Macaca mulatta: one gene and its partners. The protein of the gene in region 2 interacts with the protein of the main gene of each other region in a biochemical or structural test. Links are inferred from orthologs where the notes say so. Each region holds a gene or a part of one and is shown on either strand. Other genes may lie near its edges.

The links. The genes of interacting proteins can lie anywhere in the genome.
Region 1: the proteins of RAD51 (region 2) and SEM1 form a complex in vitro, tested with the Homo sapiens proteins (2 studies listed by BioGRID). The link is inferred for Macaca mulatta from reciprocal best matches to the Homo sapiens genes RAD51 and SEM1.
Region 3: the proteins of RAD51 (region 2) and RAD54B form a complex in vitro, tested with the Homo sapiens proteins (2 studies listed by BioGRID). The link is inferred for Macaca mulatta from reciprocal best matches to the Homo sapiens genes RAD51 and RAD54B.

What each region holds. Positions count from the first base shown.
Region 1 is NC_133408.1:122,656,768-122,663,258, forward strand, and holds the start of SEM1 (26S proteasome complex subunit SEM1), read left to right. Parts: upstream 1-2,611; 5' UTR 2,612-2,743; coding exon 2,744-2,819; intron 2,820-6,491. UniProt on the Homo sapiens protein: Component of the 26S proteasome, a multiprotein complex involved in the ATP-dependent degradation of ubiquitinated proteins.
Region 2 is NC_133412.1:18,028,248-18,034,653, reverse strand, and holds the start of RAD51 (DNA repair protein RAD51 homolog 1), read right to left. Parts: upstream 3,711-6,406; 5' UTR 1,672-3,710; intron 1-1,671.
Region 3 is NC_133413.1:104,865,019-104,871,603, forward strand, and holds the start of RAD54B (DNA repair and recombination protein RAD54B), read right to left. Parts: upstream 3,881-6,585; 5' UTR 3,766-3,880; intron 1-3,765. UniProt on the Homo sapiens protein: Involved in DNA repair and mitotic recombination. May play an active role in recombination processes in concert with other members of the RAD52 epistasis group.

The DNA of each region.
Region 1 (6,491 bases), on a different chromosome or scaffold from region 2:
ACTTTCCCACATTTTTCTATCTTCTTCTGAGCCCTTCAAACTGTTCCAACCTCTGCCTGTTACCCAGTACCAAAGTCGCTTCCACATTTTCAGGTATCTTTATGGCAGCGCCCTACTACCCTGTACCAACTGACTACATTAGTTTGTTCTCATGCTGCTAATAAAGACATACCTGAGACTGGGTAATTTATAAAGGAAAGAGGTTTAATTGACTCACAGTTCCACATGGCCAGGGAGGCCTCACAATCATGGCTGAAGGTGAATGAGGGGCAAAGTCATGTTGTACATGGTGGCAGACAAGAGAGCTTGTATAGGGAAACTCTCCTTTATAAAACCATCAGATCTTGTGAGACTTACTCACTATCAGGAGAACAGCATGGGAAAGACCGGCCCCCAAGACTCAATTACCTCCCAGTGACTCCCTCCCACAACGTGGGAATTATGGGAGCTACAATTCAAGATGAGATTTGGGTGAGGACAGAGGCAAACCATATCAATAGGGCTGTTATGAGGAGGATTAAATAAGTAAATACATAAAATGGGTTTAGCCCAGTGCCTGATACAAAGTAAACACTAAATATACATTATTAGAGGGACTGACTTCCTCATAAAGTATTAAAAAGATATCAAGGAAACAAAACACACACTTAGAGACTTTTAGGGGTAACAAGGAGAATCTGAGATATTTTAAAATATATCCTTACTTAATAATAGCTAACATGTATTGATCACTTATTATGTGCCAGGCATTGAATTATGCACATTATATACATAATCTCCTTTAATCTTAACTGTAACTGCAAAAAACCAACATGTATTACAGATAAATTAAGTAATTTGTCTAAACTCCCCTTTAGAAGGAATTGAGCCTGGATTTATAATACAAACTGGTCTGCAAATATGTATTGTTAATATCATTTTCTAAAATTATTCCATGTGCCATGACCATTGAAATGCGAAGTTGCTCATTGTGCCATGTGCCATGACATTTAAAATAAGAAGTTAATGTCTATGGCTGTACCACCCTGAACATTCCCCATCTCATCGGAAATAAGAAGTTATTTAAGTTTCAGCATTCTGGATTTCATGAACCAGTACAATGGAAGAACCAGTACAATGGAAGAAAGGGCAGGGGTGGTGGAACTTGAGGTAAGAGAGAAAAAAACAATCTCTCTTTAAATTGAATATAGTTTTAGGGGGAAAAAATCACCATATTGCTGTTGATTTTTTTCTTTTGCTAAGGATTGATACAAACTTCATCATATATCAAATGAACTAAATAACAGGTCTGGGAACTAGAATTTGGGTTTTCTGACTTCTTGGCAAAATCTTTTTTTTTTACTTTCTTTAAAAATTATTTTAATTGACAAATAAAAATTGCATATATTTACGGAGCACATGTTTTAAAATACAAATACATTGTATAATGACTAAATCACACTAATTAAGATATGCATTACCTGACATAATTGTTTTGGTAGTGAGATATCACTATTTTCAGTAATCTATATAAATCAAATAGTATAAGAGATACGTTTAAAAAAAATTACATCTAATTGTAGTTCTCGGCCAAGTTTGTTCTACATTTAATTACTCCATTTTCTGCATTCCCAAACACTCTGTTCATTTCTCACATAATATTAAGATGGAGATTGAAGTGGATTACTGCATTTCATTGTGATTTATCCGTTTACATGTCTCTGAGTAGAATATGAGCTTCTTGAAGAAAGGGACTTTGTCTATACATGTTTGATACACAGCTCCTGGTAAGCGGTATGACCTAACATTGTTAAATAAAGGAATGGGATTTATAGATATAATCTGGAACATGTATCAAAATTTACAATAATACCCAATTTGTGTATTATGTATATTCTATAATATTCATCCATATACATCCATATATTATATATAGAGTTCCATGAAGTTCACTACTGTATTCAGAATGATATTCAAATGCTATTCAAACAATTCTAAATGATATATTTTTAGCACCATAAAATGTTACACAAATCCATATTTAAATAGTATTATTGTATAATAACCTGTAAACTAGAGTTACTACACACACATACACACCACACAAATTCTATTTAAAAAGCTATTTACCACAAAGTAATTCTAAGACTTGATTAACACTGCCTAATGGAAAAGTCTGGAGATTGGAGCCAGGCAAAAAAAAATCTGCATTTTGGTTGTCTAGCACTACCTGAGTAATTTCCGTTGCTTCTTTCTGAACGTGAATTTTCTGTGATGTGGAGACATTTAATACCATCCTTAGTGAACTGGCTTAAGGACTGGAGGTAATAATGTATGTGAAGGGCTGATGAATGCTTGTAGTCAGACTGTAGTCTCTCTAGAGTTCCTTCCTCGGTTGCAAACTAAGTAAAGGCTTTTTTGTTTGTTTTACACATTATGAGTCTTTTATAGTCAGGAAAACTACACGGATCCCAACTTTGGCAATTCAGAGAGTCCGATTTACGTGGTAGAGACAAATATATATATATATATATATTTAATACATATATATATAAAAAACTCGGAAAACTCGCTAAACCCGCAGGGAGCGCTGGGCCGACCTCCAGTATCCCAGCATTCCTCGCGCTGCTCCCGTAGTTCCTTCTCCGAGTCTCTATGGTAGCGTCAGCCTCGGAGGCGGCAGTGACGGTGGCGTTTCCTTGAGGAAGAGTGAGGGTTCCAACTTTACTGCTGATCTGGGAGGTGTTGGGCGCGGAGGGTCGAGATGTCAGAGAAAAAGCAACCCGTAGACTTAGGTCTCTTAGAGGAAGACGACGAGTTTGAAGAGTTCCCGGCCGAAGGTAACCGCTGTGCCCCGGTTTCTGTGCCGCGCGAACGGTGACTCAGGCCTCCGTGTGGAGGTGGTTTGGTCGGTCGGGCCCAGCTGGGGGCACCGGCGGGAAGTTTGGACTCCCAGGGCCGGCACTCGAGGCGCTAACGCTCATCCCTCAGTGGCGCCCCAGCGTCGGGTTTGGGGTGTCGCTCTGGGACTCATTGGCGAGGCCCAATGGCCTCAGCTTCCGTACTGGGAGGAGCCACCGTGAGTCTGGACCCATAGCCCCGCGTCTGGGATGGTTGGTCCCTTTACTGTTCCTCTGGGTTACTCACCACTTAAACTTTAGTTCAAGTCTACATAACTTCCTTTTATTTTTCTTTTCTTTTCGTTTCGTTTCGTTTCGTTTCGTTTTAGCAGTCTTTCTTTGCCTTTAAACCTTTCCAGAATTGAATTGTCTGTAGTTACGCCAATGCTGCTTAACTTTTAGGATGTTACAAATGAAGCCTGATTAAGTAAGACAGAAGGGTAAGATATTGGGTGCTTAATACACATTATTGCCTTACTCCTGTTCCTCACCATTTTTGTCACTTAACTGTGACCTAACTTAATGCTTTATAAGACCCTACAACTTGACGGGTATGGTGGCTCAGGCCTGTAATCCCAGCAGTTTGGGAGGCCGAGGTAGGAGGATCACATGAGGTCAGGAGTTCAAGACCAGCCTGGGCAACATAGTGAGACCCTGTCCCTACAAAAATAAAATATATATTTTTAAAAATATATATATTTTTTCAATTAAAAATACACTTTTTTTTTTTTTTTTTTTTTTTAGTTTCAAAACTAAAGACCTTTAGTTTTTTTGTTGTAGGTAATAGCAAATTGCTAACATTTCTTGAGTGGCTGCTGTTTTCAGGAACTTGTCTAAGTGCTTTACTTGTAATAGCATATTCCACTTTCATAAATTCCACTAGGGCCTACTTCCTGTATGCCCTAGACCATTCTTTAGATAAACTGAAGCTCAGAGTGAAACGTTCCTGATGTCTCATAACTAGTTAGAAACAATAGAAGTGGAATTGGGACACCTGTTCTGATTGACACCAAAGTTCTTAACTTTAGCTGTACTGCTTCTGTTTGTGAGATTGCTGTTACCAGTTAGGTTTTCAAAATAGGCTGCTTTATTGACTAATGGTTGATGAGTAGGACTTGTAAATATTTACCTTATAAGAAAAGGAGATTACTTTCTGAAGGTGGTAGAAAGAGAATTGTGGTTAATGGGGTACACATCCTGTTGCATCAAGCAATTACTACTTCACTAAAATTGTCCCAAGTTGTATACCCTATCATGATCCTATTGTACGTAAAACCACATAGCTGGAACATTTGTTCTATTTATAATGTACTGTTACTTTGTTTAGTGGAAGAGAACATTAGTGTACATGCTACAGAAACTCGTAAACTAACCCAAAGCACATTTCTTTTCAGTTCTGGAATTCATTATGTATTGTAGGCATTCTTAGTTTTTTGTTTTGGTAATGGATTTATCTGTTCAGTCATGTTTTCTTTAGCTCACTTTCAAGTTGCGTCATAATCTGCCAACGTAGAGCTGTGTCATAGAAAGCTGGCCTATTGAAGGTAGGATCTTCTTACTCAAACTTCATACTTCAAATAACATTGTTCATTATCATATACAGGGTGGAATGTTAGGCACTTTATTTACATTATATAATCTAATTATCACTATCACCCTGAGAATATGGAGGCTCAGAGACAAAAAGAAAAACAAATAAACAAAACTTGCCATTATGTCCAAGCCAGAATCTGAAAGGTCTGTCTCTCTGATCCAAACTTTATCCGCAGCATTTAGCAGAGTGCCTAATACATAGTAGGTGGTCAATAAATGCTTGTTGAATGAATGATGAATGAACCCGCATTTAAAATGAGTAGTTAGTTGATAATTGACTGCTTAAAAACGATCTAGAGATAACTATGTACCTGATGGTACACTTGATTTTTTTCAGCAACTTTCATCAGCTTTTGCTAGTGTAGTTTGTGCTTGTTCTAAGTTTATGCTGTGAGCAGCAATTTTTCGAAGTGCCAGCAGTTACATAGTAAAACAAAACAAAAAGGTAAAAGGAAAAGCAAAGAAAATATTCTAAGGACAAAAGACTCACAACAGACTGGTTTATTAACATTAAGTTATTGACCATTTATGGGTCTCCTTACAGAATGTTTGTTGTCTTCAGATATAAATGTGTAGAATTAATTCATTCAGGAAACTTTCCATTTTAGAATGAGAAACATTTTTAATGTCTATTTTGTTCAAGTTTCTCTTCTCTGGTTTATGATTTGGAGAGGTTTTTCTTAAGTTAGTGAGAAAATCAGCCCACAAGGTGAAACCACTCAATATTTACTCATGAAAATTGTTCTGATGAATAACAAAACCTAAAGAAGAACAAACTTGGGAAAATATCACCAAATAATTATTTCTTTTCTGAGAATCTGCATTTCTGACATGTTTTGGTCTAGTCAAGGTTTAGAGTCTGTTGCTATTCAAAATGTGATCCATGAAACAGCAGACTTGGCATTGCCTGGGAGCCTGTTAAAACTGCAGCATCTCATCGTTCCTCAAACCTAGACCTACTTAATAAGTGTGGGCTTTACCAAGATTCCTAAGAGATATGTTTGCACATTAAAGTTTGAAAAGTATTACTTTGAACAGTGACCTATTTTCAATATTTTGGTATTTGAGTTTTCACTTCAATTATTAATGCCCTGATTTACTTTCAAGTTCTTTCTGTACTTTGGAAAATTATTTTTCTTGTAAGTATGCCGTTGACAAATTCACTAACAGATACAAATTAAAATTGCTGTTGTTAAGGCAGCCTGTGAACATCTCTGCAGTGTATATAACAGATCGTACTTTCAAAGGCTTTGTTGAGTATCAGTGCTCCGAGAGGTTGCCACATGAAAGTCATTACTCATGGTTCGACTAATAGATTTTCTTTTGGGAGTGGGTCTTCCTTTTGGAAGTGGTGTTGCTACATCCATCTTGTGTAAGAATTTGTTTGGTGGGATGTCCATTTAATCATTTTAAGGAAAGGGATATTTTATTGTTTCTTCTCTCTCTCTCTCTCTCTTTTTTTTTTTTTGGTTGTTCGAGATGGAGTTTCACTCTCGTTGCCCAGGCTAGAATGCAGTGGTGTGATCTTGGCTCCCTGCAACCTCCCCTCCCCGGTTCAAGTGATTCTCCTGCCTCAGCCTCCCAAGTAGCTGGGATTACAGGCATGTGCCACCACGCCCGGCTAATTTTGTATTTTTAGTAGAGATGGGGTGTCTCCATGTTGGTCAGGCCGGTCTCGAACTCCCGACCTTAGGTGATCTGCCCGCCTCTGCCTCCCAAAGTGCTGGGATTACAGGCATGAGCCACCATGTCCAGCATAGTTTCTTCTCAATAGCCCTTCAGTGTAAAGTGCAACACCTGGAAGGAGTCTCTGAAGGTACAAATGCTGCTTTTATTTTTTTCCCCCATTCTGTAGCCTGTGAATTGGTGCTACATTGGCAGTTCCTCACAATTTTTCTAATTGGTGGGTGTGTAATCTACTGGTAATTAAGCAGGAGCTGTTAAAAAAAATCATGTTTAAGATCTTTGTAATATACAGCCTCCAACTTCTTGACTACTTAAACTGATTTAGAACCGCCT
Region 2 (6,406 bases):
AACGAAACACTCAACACTCCTGATGTATTTTTATATAAAATTCAAAAACGAGCAACATTAGTTAATCGCATTAGAAACCAGTATACCAGTTACCACTGTAAAAAGGGGAAAATATTAAATACTACATAAGGAAGGCTTCTGGGGACCATTCTATTAAGTGGTGATTACGTAGGTGTACATTCATTTTGTCTTGCTCTATCGCCCAGGTTGGAGTGCAGTGGCCTGATCACGGCTCACTGCAGCTTATACTTCCCAGGCTAGATCCTCCCTTCTCAGCCTCCTGAATAGCTGGGCCTACAGGTGCACACCACCAAGCCTGGCTAATTTTTTCTATCTGTAGAGATACTGGTCTCACTATCTTGACCAGGCTGTTCTCGAACTCTTGGGCTCAATTGTCCTCCCGCCTCCACCTCCTAAAGTGCTGGGACTACAGACTTGAGACACTACACCCGGCCAGTATATTTTGTAATAATTCACGGAGTTGTATACAGTTGTGAATGTGCATTTTTCTACACATATGTATATTACATATCACTTATGTATATTACATATCACTTTAGAAGTTTAAAAAAAAAAAAAAAAAAAAACAGGGGCCAGGCGCGGTGGCTCACGCCTGTAATCCCAGCACTTTGGGAGGTGGAGGCGGGTGGATAACCTGAGGTCAGGAGTTCGACACCAGCCTGACCAGCATAGTGAAACCCTGTCTCTACTAAAAATACAAAAATCGGCCGGGCGCGGTGGCTCAAGCCTATAATCCCAGCACTTTGGGAGGCCGAGACGGGCGGATCACGAGGTCAGGAGATCGAGACCATCCTGGCTAACACGGTGAAACCCCGTCTCTACTAAAAAATACAAAAAAAAAAACTAGCCGGATGAGGTGGCGGGCGCCTGTAGTCCCAGCTACTCGGGAGGCTGAGGCAGGAGAATGGCCTGAATCCGGGAGGCGGAACTTGCAGTGAGCTGAGATCCGGCCACTGCACTCCAGCCTGGGCAACAGAGCAAGATTCCGTCTCAAAAAAAAAAAAAAAAAAAAAAATACAAAAATCAGCCAGTCGTGGTGGCGGGAGCCTGTAATCCCAGCTCCTTGGGAGGCTGAGGTAGGAGAATCGCTTGAACCCGGGAGGCGGAGGTTGCAGTGAGCCGAGATCGCGCCACTACACTCCAGCCTGGGCTAAAGAGCGAGACTTCATCTCAAAAAAAAAAAAAAAAAAAAGTTTTAAGAAAACCAAGCCTCACTTCAGATCATTCTCTAGGCATCATGCGAATGGTTTTCCGCATTAGATGACGAAAATACTGTTTTGGCAATTGCAGGTTGGTACTTTCTAAGCACGGTGTAACGGAAAGACAGACCAAGAATCCGGAAGCCCTGGCTGTGATATTAAACAGCTGTGGCTACACCGCTCTGATCTCAGACTCCTCGCTCAAACTCATAAAACGGGTGTTGGCTATGAAGGCTCTAATGTTTCTCCCCTAGTTCTAAAGACTGGGGTCCACCTGTGTTTTCGCCCCAGCAACTGAGGGTCGGTCGGACGCGGACACGCCCTGCCACGTCCGGGTTTCACACTGTGCGCGGAGACCCCACCTGCCCCTGAGCATTGGACCGGCCAGGACCCAGGTGGGCGACGACGAGCCGCAGCTATAGAGGGCCCGGCCTGCGCCTCACACACTCACCTTGGCCCTCAGCGCTGCTCTTTCCAACGGGCCGCGCGCTCCGACTTCACCCTGCGGGGGTGACACGCGCCTGACCCGCGCGGACCCCAACGCCCCTGGCTTACGCCCCACTTCAAGTCTACTCGCTTGCCCTAGCCTTCTGCGCACAACCCAGACGAGTTTCAGCTCCCAGCTGCACGCCTCGGGAAGCGCCGCGCTCTCCTTAAGGGTCGGTCTCTGGTCGCTGGGCGCGCTCCGCCGGCGGCTTTCAGAATTCGCGCCAAACCCTCTCGCCCAGGGTCACGCCCGCGTCGGCGTAACGTATCTCCGCCTTCCGGATCCGCCTTCTTGCCCCTTCCGCCCTCCGCGCTAGCCCAAGACTGGAACTCGAGAGCTTGATCCTGCGCGAGGTTACGGACTGCCCTCTTCCCTTTTTGCGTAAGGACTAATTCAGACTTTATGCCGGGCGCGGTGGCTCACGCGCGTAGTCCCAGCTAACTCGGGAGGCCGAGGCGAGAGGATCGTCTGAGCCTAGGAGTTCTAGGCCAACCACGGCAACGCCCCTACTCTTACCCTAGTCCCTCGCGGGTGGGGCGAGGGTTTTCGGGGGACGGTGGGGGAAGACATCAGAGTTGCTGTGGTCTGTTTACCAGATCGAAGACTACAACTCCCAAGAGGTAATGCGTCGGCCCGGGACTGCATCTCCCGGCATGCACCGCCGGCGGGCCTGCGAGTTCCTACCGTCATCCCAGCTGGACTATTACCTGGAGCCGGACTATTACCTAGAGCCTTAGCACTCTTGTGGTTTGTTTCAGCAGTATCTGAACGTCAGCTTTTGGCGCTGGTAGCTCTGAGCCTCCGACTCACATTCCTGGAACCAGGTGCTTTCCAGGCCTCATGGAGGTGGAGGAGCTGAGGAAGCTCGAGAAGATGGATAGAAGTGGGAAATGGAGCTATCGGAGGGGAGAGGGAAACGGCTGGAATATTCGTCAATCTGTGGTGCTTTACTGGAGATTTGCAGGACTTCAGAGGAAGGGGGCATTGAATTTCATAACCTAAACCGTCTCGTGGTTTACCAGAAAGTTTTGACCCGTGATTCCGGTTTTAAAGGCTGAGTAGGGCCGAGAATCGCTTGAACCCGGGAGGAAGAGGTTGCAACGAACCGAGATCTCGCCACTGTACTCCAGCGTGGGCGACAGAACGAGAGTGTCTCAAAACAACACAAGCTAGCTGAGTAGGATTTCTTGGGCGAAGTGGAAGACACTATAAGCAGATAGGGTAGTATGGGCATGGAAACAAACTACATGATTAAAGATTAGTATTATCTAGCGAGGGAGGAAAAGTGCCAGAACAAGTGCCGAAACTGGAAAGTTACATTTAGTTCAGGATATGAAGAGGCTTAAGATCATATAAGGCCTGCACAGTGGCTCACGCCTGTGATCCCAGCACTTTGGGAAGCCAAGGCAGGAGAGGATCGCTTGAGCTCAGGAGTTGGAGGCCAGCCTGGGCAACATAGTGGGACCCCATATCTCCAAAAAGAATAAGCTGGGCATGGTGGCTTGTGCCTGTGGTCTCAGCTATCCCGGAAGCTGAGGTGGGAGGATTGCTTGAGCTCAGGACGTCAAGGCTGCAGTGAGCTATGATGGGACACTGCACTCCAACCTGGGCTACAGAGTGAGATCTTGTCCCAAAAAGCAAGCAACAACAACAAAACATGTAAGAAGAGGCCAGGCGCGGTGGCTCAAGCCTGTAATCCCAGCACTTTGGGAAGCCAAGGTGGGTGGATCACGTGGTCAGTTCAAGACCAGCCTGGCCAAGATGGCAAAACCCCATCTCTACTAAAACTACAAAAAGTAGCTGGGCGTGGTGACGCATGCAAGTAATCCCAGCTACTTGGGAGGCTGAGGCACAGAATTGCTTGAACCTGGGAGGTGGAGGTTGCAGTGAGCCGAGATCACCCCACTGCACTCCAGCCTGGGCAACAGAGCAAGACTCAGTCTCAAAAAATACATATATAAGGAGCTTTGTTCTCTAGGTACTGAATAAATCACTGAAAGTTTTGTTTTTTGTTTTTTTTTTTTTTTTGAGACGGAGTCTCGGTCTGTCGCCCAGACTGGAGTGCAGTGGCCGGATCTCAGCTCACTGCAAGCTCCGCCTCCCGGGTTTACGCTATTCTGCCTCAGCCTCCCGAGTAGCTGGGACTACAGGCGCCAGCCACCTCGCCCGGCTAGTTTTTTGTATTTTTTAGTAGAGACGGGGTTTCACCGTGTTAGCCAGGATGGTCTCGATCTCCTGACCTCGTGATCCGCCCGTCTCGGCCTCCCAAAGTGCTGGGATTACAGGCTTGAGCCACCGCGCCCGGCCCACTGAAAGTTTTTAAGAAGACAAGTTATTTGGTTAGATCTATTTCCCCTCCACTATTACTAATTTGTTATTATTATTATTATTATTATTATTTTTAGATGGAGTCTCACTCTGTTACCCAGGCTGGAGTGCAGGGATGCGATCTCAGCTCACTGCAACCCCTACCTCCCAGATGCAAGCGAGTCTCCATGCCTCAGCCTCCCAAGTAACTGGGATTTTAGGCACTCGCCACCACACCCAGCTAATTTTTTGTATTTTTAGTAGAGACAGGGTTTCACCATGTTGGCCAGGCTGGTCTCAAACTCCTGACCTCAGGTGATCCACCTGCCTTGGCCTCCCAAAGTGCTGGAATTACAGGTGTGAACCATCATGCCTGGCTTTTTTTTTATTTTTGAGATAGCGTCTCGCTCTGTTCAAGTTGGCCTTGAACTCCTGGCCTCAAGTGATCCTCCCACCTTGACCTCCCAAAGTGTTGGAATTACAGGTGTGAGCCGTTGCAACGGCCTTATTACTACTTTATATATGTGGAGTGCTTTAAAGTTGACAAAGTTTTTATTTAATCCTCACACTATTACCCTGTGGCATTGAAGAATAGATTTCAGGAGAGTGAAAGTGAAGACAGCAAAAAGGAAGTTGTTGCAATATTTCAGGCAAGAGATGAAGATTTAAATTAGATTCCAATTCTACCTTTTTGGCACCAGGGACCTGTTTTATCAAAGACAGTTTTCTACAGGGCTTGGGGGGTGGGCCTGAGGCAGAGAATGGTTTTGGAATGAAACTGTTATACCTCAAGATCATCAGTTAGATTCCCATAAGGAGTGTGCAATCTAGATTCCTCACAGGTGCAGTTCAAAATAGGGTTTGTGGCCAGGTGCGGTGGCTCAAGCCTGTAATCCCAGCACTTTGGGAGGCCGAGACGGGCGGATCACAGGGTCAGGAGATGGAGACCATCCTGGCTAACCCCGTGAAACCCCCGTCTCTACTAAAAAATACAAAATAGGCCGGGCGCGGTGGCTCAAGCCTGTAATCCCAGCACTTTGAGAGGCCGAGACGGGCGGATCATGAGGTCAGGAGATCGAGACCATCCTGGCTAACACGGTGAAACCCCGTATCTACTAAAAAATACAAAAAAACTAGCCGGGCGAGGTGGCGGGTGCCTGTAGTCCCAGCTACTCGGGAGGCTGAGGCAGGACAATGGTGTGAACCCAGGAGGCGGAGCTTGCAGTGAGCTGAGATCGCGCCACTGCACTCCAGCCTGGGCGGCAGAGCGAGACTCCGTCTCAAAAAAAAAAAAAAAAAAAAAAAAAAATAGCCAGGTGAGGTGGCGGGCGCCTGTAGTCCCAGCTACTCGGGAGGCTGAGGCAGGAGAATGGCGTAAACCCGCAAGGCGGAGCTTGCAGTGAGCTGAGATCCGGCCACTGCACTCCAGCCTGGGCGACAGAGCGAGACTCCGTCTCAAAAAAACAAACAAACAAACAAACAAAAGAATAGGGTTTGAGTTCCTGTGAGAATCTAATGCTCTCCCTGATCTGATAGGAGGCAGAGCTCAGGCAGTAATGCTTGCTTGCCAGCTGCTCACCTCCTGCTCTTCAGCCCAGTTCCTAACAGGCCACAGGTCTACAATGGGGCATTGGGGTCCTCTGAATTAGAGGAATAACAGAGAGAACAGACTCAGGCAGCTTTCTGGATGTAGAAACAACCTAACTTAGTGATTATAGATAGTACCTGTGATAATAGTGAACTTTCTTCCATATCAAAGTTACACACCTTTGCCTCCAGTTCTTCCCACACCTTTAGAGCATCTGCAAACCTGCAGCCCTCCTCCTAGCTGACTGTAGTCACATGACTTTTACCTTTCTGACCACTGGTTGTACCAGCAGTGTTCATCTGACCCCAAATCAGCCAATCATTTTCCTGCTCCTGGAAAATTATACTTGGGTTTTATATTCAAGTCTGACCTCAGGAATTTATGGAGCAAGGTACACAGATAGATGTGTCAAATCAGAGAAAGCACATCTGCAGAAAGATTAAGAAATTGATGTCAGGCGCGATGGCTCAAGCCTGTAACCCCAGCTCTCTGGGAGACCAAGGCAGGTGGATCACCTGAGGTCAGGAGGAGTTCGAGACCAGCCTGGCCAACATGGTGAAACCCCATCTCTACTAAAAATACAAAAATTAGCTGGGTGTGGTGGCACATGCCGGTAATCCCAGCTACTCAGGAGGCCAAGGCAGGAGAATCGCTTGAACCCGGGAGGCAGAGGTTGCAGTGAGCTGAGATCATGCCACTAGACTCCAGCCTGGACGACAGAGCAAGACTCTGTCAAAAAAAAAAAAAAAAAAAGAAAGAAAGAAAGAAATTGAGATACTAAGGAGAGAGTCAAAGATAAATGGA
Region 3 (6,585 bases), on a different chromosome or scaffold from region 2:
GCCAGTACCAAATACGCAGAAGGAGTTCAGTATTTGTTATGTGAACGATACCATTAATTGGGGCGGGGAGGGGGCAGGGAACAACACTTTAAAAAAATGTTTAATGACATGAGAAATATTTTTTGATAAGTCAAAGGAAAAATGGCGACAAAACATGTCCAGTCTCATTCTAATTTTTAAAAAGAAAAGAAAAAGAAAAAGGATAACGCGTATATGTACATTTAAAAGACTAGAAAGCAAACGAGCATGAGAGAACTTGTTTGAAGTGACAGAAATAATCTATATAAGATTGTAGTGTGGTTACAGGAGTATATATACATCTGTATATCAAAACATCAAAATGTACACATCTAACTGCACACTGTAAATTATACTGCTATAAAGTATATATGTCATATATTAAAATATACAATTGTTTTTTAAAAACTAGAAAAACACATGCCACAATATTAACCGTAATTATTTCTAGGTCTGGTTAGAATAACCAGTAATTTTTATTCTATTCTGAGTTATTTTCTGTATATTTCAAATTTTTTACAATGAAAATATTACCTTTGTAATAGGGAAAAGTATCATGAATTAGATTTTTTAAATTACCATATTTCATCAAATCTAAAATGCCATCAATTGTAAGACATACTCTTGGTTGTTAGTCCATATAAAAGAAATGTTTAAAAGTAAATATTTTAAAAATAAAAATTTTTTTAGTTGTAAGATGTACCATTATTTTATGTATCCAAGAAAAAAAGTGTAGCCAATTGAACTATGATACACTATCATTGATGGTTAGACATTTCCTGATTTCATCAATGTTAAAATGATGAAACATGTAAATATTTTATATATAACCAGCCTTTACATAGTTTGAGGAATGAGTAGTAGAGGTCACTCTCTTCAATTTCTTATTCAACAACAAAATAGATCTCTATTAGTATAATCTTTAATCTTAGAGCAAATTATGAAACAGATGGTTTTTGACTGCTTTAGAAGCAGTATTTGCCAATGCCAGAAGTAAATACAAATTCTGGCCAAACAAGTCATGCCAAAATAACTTCATTAAACTAATTTCCTTTTTATAATGGGTAAGCAGAATACTACAGGTCTCTAAATATATAATTGACACAAGTTTGAAATTGATTAATGGCAACTGTCACAAGAGGACATGGATGTTAGGCCTTGCATTTAGACTCAGTTACTTAATGGTCAAATGAAATAGAACAATAGAAGCTGAAATTTAAAACTAAAGATTTTAGTGACTATAGTTCAACTGAAATAAGATAATGAGCCTTCTTAAACTAATAAATTCTAGATAGCATTAATAAAAATATGATGTCCACATCATTCTGTTCTCTACATTAATCAGACTCCCCTTTAATACTGTGAAAATTCTGACACTTTTTCAAAAGGAACACTTAAAAAAATACAGTAGTTAGAAACATCAACAGTAGAAATGAAGGAAACCAGAGTGTAGTTCAGATTCTGCTATTTCAGGGATGCTTAACTTTGGGGAAGCTATTTAACTCTCTAGACACCAATTTTCTCATTTATAAAATAAAGAATGAACTAGATGCTAAAATTTCTTTCAACACTAAATGTGAAGAATTACTACCCTAAACCCTTCTACATCTAATACATGATTTCTGATTTTTCCACCTTCCTATTTTGTAAACTAATAAAAATGATAATGCAAGCATACAAGCATCATCACAGAGCAGTGATTAAGAAAACAAACTGACTCTGGAGCCAGCCAGGCTGCCTGGCTAGAATCCAAACTGTGCTATTTACATATGACCTTAGGCACCCATCAAGACATTTAATTTGTTGATGCATTTCAAAGTAAAATGCAGAAATCAGTACATTTCCCCCCAAAAGAGTACCGCACCCTTATAGCTTTTTAAACTAGTTCTGTATGTTCATGTTGTCCTGTCCATAATAAATTAATTAATTAATTAATGCTGTCTGAGCCCTTTTCCCAGGTCCTAGAAATAAAGCCATTTGGTAGCCCTGATGTGATGCTACAACTTCTGTAACACCTATTAGCTTCAGTCCTTCCAAGTAAAATGGTAAGGCCAGGCTGACAACTGCAATACACCAGATAGCCACAAGTACTTGGCACTACACTGTGGTAAATAAGAACACAACTTTGAAAGCAAATGCCTGAATATAAATACTGACACTTCCCAATGGTCTTGCACAGTTTACTTAGGCTCCATGTGTCTCAGTTTCCTCATCTTTAAGAGGGGGTACCATAATCATACTTACACACCGGACTGTTGGGAGGATTAAATGAAATATGTAAAGCACTTAAAACAAAACTTGACACATAAGCACTCAATGTTATCTGTAATATTACTATCTATAATTAGTATTATTGGAGAATAGAAATGACGAAGGTCCTGTGGGGGAGATAGAAAAGGGGTAGTTCAACATACAGGACAATGACCAGAATCTTTGGGTTCGTCTGGGCTTTAAAGAGAGGTATGTGCAACCATCAAACGTCTGGGATGCAAGAATGTAAGTAAACCAACTCTACCAAGAACCAGCAACAGTCTTTCCCTGCTGTTTCTGCTTTTCGACTTCCAACTACATTAAGTAGTAATTATCTCACTTCATGCCTTAAGTTGCTCCTTTGAGACTCCGGCTATACAGATGGTTCCTAATTTAGGACGGTTTCACTTAGAATTCTTCAACTTTTAAGAAAGCCATAAGCATTTAGTAGAAACTGTGCAAGTAACCACATAACTGTCTGTGGTCATGATTTTGCCCAACTGTAGATTAAGGTAAGTGTTCTGAGTATGTTTAAGGTAGGCATGAAATCATGTCCTTTACAGCAACATGGGTGCAGCTGGAGGCTATTACCCAAAGCGAATTAAAGCAGAAACAGAAAATCAAATATTGCATGTTCTCACTTATAAATGGGAGCTAAACACTGGGCATTCATGAACATAAAGATGGCAATAATAGACAGTGGGGACAACTAGAAGGGGGAGGAAAGGAGGAGCAAGGGTTCAAAAACTATTGGGTACTATGCTCACTACCTGGGTGACAGGATCAATCGTATCCAAACCTCAGCACCACGTAATATACCGATGCAACAAACCTGCACATGTACTCCCAAATCTAAAATAAACCGCTGAAAATTAATTTTTTTGATAACAAAACTAGGCTAGGCCAAGCTTTAATACTCAGTAGGTTAGCTGTTTTAAATCCATTTTCGACTTAGGATATTTTCAACTCCGTAGTAAGTCGAGAAGCATCTGTACCTACCTAGAAAATCTTTCATAAGGTAATCGATTAAAAGATTTTAAGGAAATACAAGAAAAACCTGACCAGCGAGGAGGTAAAAGTCCCTAAAGAAGGCGTACCGACACTCTCCAGGGCGTTCGCGGAGCCTTCACCCCCTGTTGCTGGGGAAGGGGCTTCCCAGTGCAGGAGTGAGGGAGAGACCCAAACGCCACAGAAGCCTGAGCAAAGCGACAGCAGGGGCGGCCCCAGGGGCCACAGCCCAGAACCATCCCTCGCACACAAACGCACACCTCTACACCCCCACCACCCGCCCTTCGCTCCTAGCCCCCCGGGGCCAGCAGCCAGGGCGTCCCTCGCACTTCAGACCAAAGTTGCAGGCCCGCAGGAGGCCACTTCGGTCGCTCCTGCCTCCTTCCCTCCCTCCTCCCTCGGAGGCCTGCTCCGGCGCCACTCCCTGCTTTGTCCCGCACGAGCCTACAGGCTGTCGCGGCCTCCCGAGCTTCCCCCTCCAGGACGCACCGGCGAAAATCTGACAGAAACCACTGGCCCTGCAAAGAAGCACTTCTGGTAACCAGCGGTCCCCTCGCCACCGGAGAAGCTCAAGGCTCCCGCCTCGGCGAAGCCAATCGCGGACGAGCCCGGTGCGCGTGCGCACTACCTAGCCGCTGCACTGTCCAGTCCTGCCCTACTCTGATTGGACGACCCTATTGCATCACTGCGCATGTACCTTTGCGTTTCCCTTTAAAGGCTTCCAAGTTTGATTCAAGTTTACGGTTCAATTAAAAAAATACCGGTTTCGTGCCTACTTTCAGACACAGTGTAGATGCCGAGGCTACAGATCTCACCATCTGCGTGGATAAGTAATAAATAAGGTATGATTCGGTGTGTGCGATAATAGAAATGCGTGCATCGCAGAGGTATACGATATCCTATTGGTTATTAATTAATCCGAAAAAACATTGACCTAGTGTTGCCTGCAGGATAATTTTCAAACTTTGTTAGGTTCTGGGAATATAGAAATGAATACGTGATTATTAGGCTCTCAGAAAAGGGAAGCCGCCCCCGGACTTGGAAAAGCATTAAAGGATATTAAATAGGAAAGTTACATCATTCAATGAGTATTTGCTTAGCACCTTCTAAGTGCTAGGCGATGACACAGTCAGCTATCCCTGAAAAATGGTATTAGAAAGGCTAATCTGAAAGGATAGAGAATGGCTAAAGGTTGTTTACTGAGTTTTATCCAACAGTTTGACAAAAGTAAAAGCTAAAAAATATCAAGGGTGAAATGAAGATGTGAAACAGTGAGAACTCTTGGGCTGCTGGTAGGAGTGTAAATAGGTACAGCTATTTAAAAGAGTAATTTGAGGCTGGGAGCGGTGGCTCAAGCCTGTAATCCCAGAATTTTGGGAGGCCGAGGGGGGCGGATCACTTGAGGTCAGGAGTTCGAGACTAGCCAGGCCAACATGGTGAAACCCGGTCTCTACTAAAAATATAGCTGGTTTTGGTGGGGCGCGCCTGTAGTCCCAGCTACTCAGCAGACTAAAGCGGGAGAATCGCTTGAACCTGGGAGGTGGAGGCTGCAGTGAACTGAGATGGCGCCACTGCACTCCAGCCTGGGTGGCAGAGAGAGACCCTGTTTCAAAAAAAAAGAAGAATGTGCTCCTTAAGGAGCTTTTATCCTGGGGCTTTTTCCAGTCATAAAGAGCACCTCATAGGTTGAGTTGTGCTTTTGGCAGCTCCCGGAGCCAGGGTTACAAGAATTTGAAATGGGGACCTACCAAGGTTGGGCACCTTGGTAAACTGCATCCCCCTCGTCTTTGGACTGGGACACGTAAAGAGTAAGGGTAACCAGAAAACAAGCTAGCTCTCGTAGTGTCTGCAGCCTACCTTAATATCATCTGGGAAGTTCAGAAAATCTAAAACAGATTGGCTAAAGGTAGCCGGGACATTCCTCTTGCAGATTTGCGTCTGGTTTGCTTGTTCACTTCAGATCATTACTCACATATCAAGTAGTCAAAGGGCCTTATCTGACAGTGTGTTACTCTCTTGTCTCATCTTCTATCTCCCTTACCCTGTTTTATAGATTTTCATCACACTTTCCATTCCCTAACATACACTTACTTGTTTATTGTTTTTCTACTACTCTCAGAATATAAGCTACATGAGGGCAAGATCTTTGCTTTATTCTCTGCTGCACCCATGTGTTTAGAACAGTACTAGTCTTTTTTGCTTTGTTTTGTTTTGTTTTTTGAGACGGAGTCTCACTCTGTCACCCAACTGGAGTGCAGTGGCATGATCTTGACTCACTGCAACCTCTGCCTCCTGGGTTAAAGTGATTCTTCTGCCTCAGCCTCCCAAGCAGCTGGGACTACAGGCATGAACCTCCATGCCCGGCTAATTTTTTTGTATTTTTGGTAGAGACGGGGTTTCACCATATTGGCCAGGCTGGTCTCAAACTCCTGACCTCATGATCCACCCACCTCGGCCTCCTAAAGTGCTGAGATTACAGGCGTGAGCCACTGCGCCCAGCCAGAACAGTACTAGTCTTACAGACTGCACTCAATAAATATTTGTTTATATTTATTTGGAGGCCAAGGCAGGAGGATTGCTTGAGGCCAGGAGTTTGAGAAAAGACCAGCCTGGGCAACATAGTGAGACCCTGCCTCTTAAGAAAAGAAAGAAAGCTGAAAGAAGTGTACACATGAACTCTCTGTTCTGTTTTTGCAAGTGTTCTGCAAGTCAAACATTAGTTCAAGTAAAAAGTTTAAAAAGACCAGGCATGGTGGCTCACGCCTGTAATCCCAGCAGTTTGGGAGGCCAAGGCGGACAGATCACTTGAGGTCAGGAGTTCAAGACTAGCCTGGTGAACATGGTGAAACCCTGTCTCTACTAAAAATACAAAAATTAGCTGAGCATGGTGGTAGGTGCCTGTAATCCCAGATACCGGGCAGGCTGAGGCAGAAGAATTGCTTGAACCCAGGAGGCGGAGGTTGCAGTGAGGCAAGATCGTGCCATTGCACTCTCCAACCTGGGCAACAGAGCGAGACTCCATCTCAAAAAAAAAAAAGAAAAAGAAGTTTAAAAAACAAGATTTCCGTTATTCAACAAATACTAAACATGAAGTACTTGGTAATGCAAAGGACACCATAATGTGTAGTTCAAAAGTACTTTTCTGCAGAAGTGTATAGTCTGATTTTGGATTATCTCTAAAGGAAACTAATAAAATGCAATTTAGGCCTAGGTGTGGCAGCTCATGCCTGTAATGCTAGCACTTTGGGAGGCCGAGTGGGGAGAAATGCTTGAGTCTAGGAGTCCAAAACCAGCCTGGGCAACATGAAT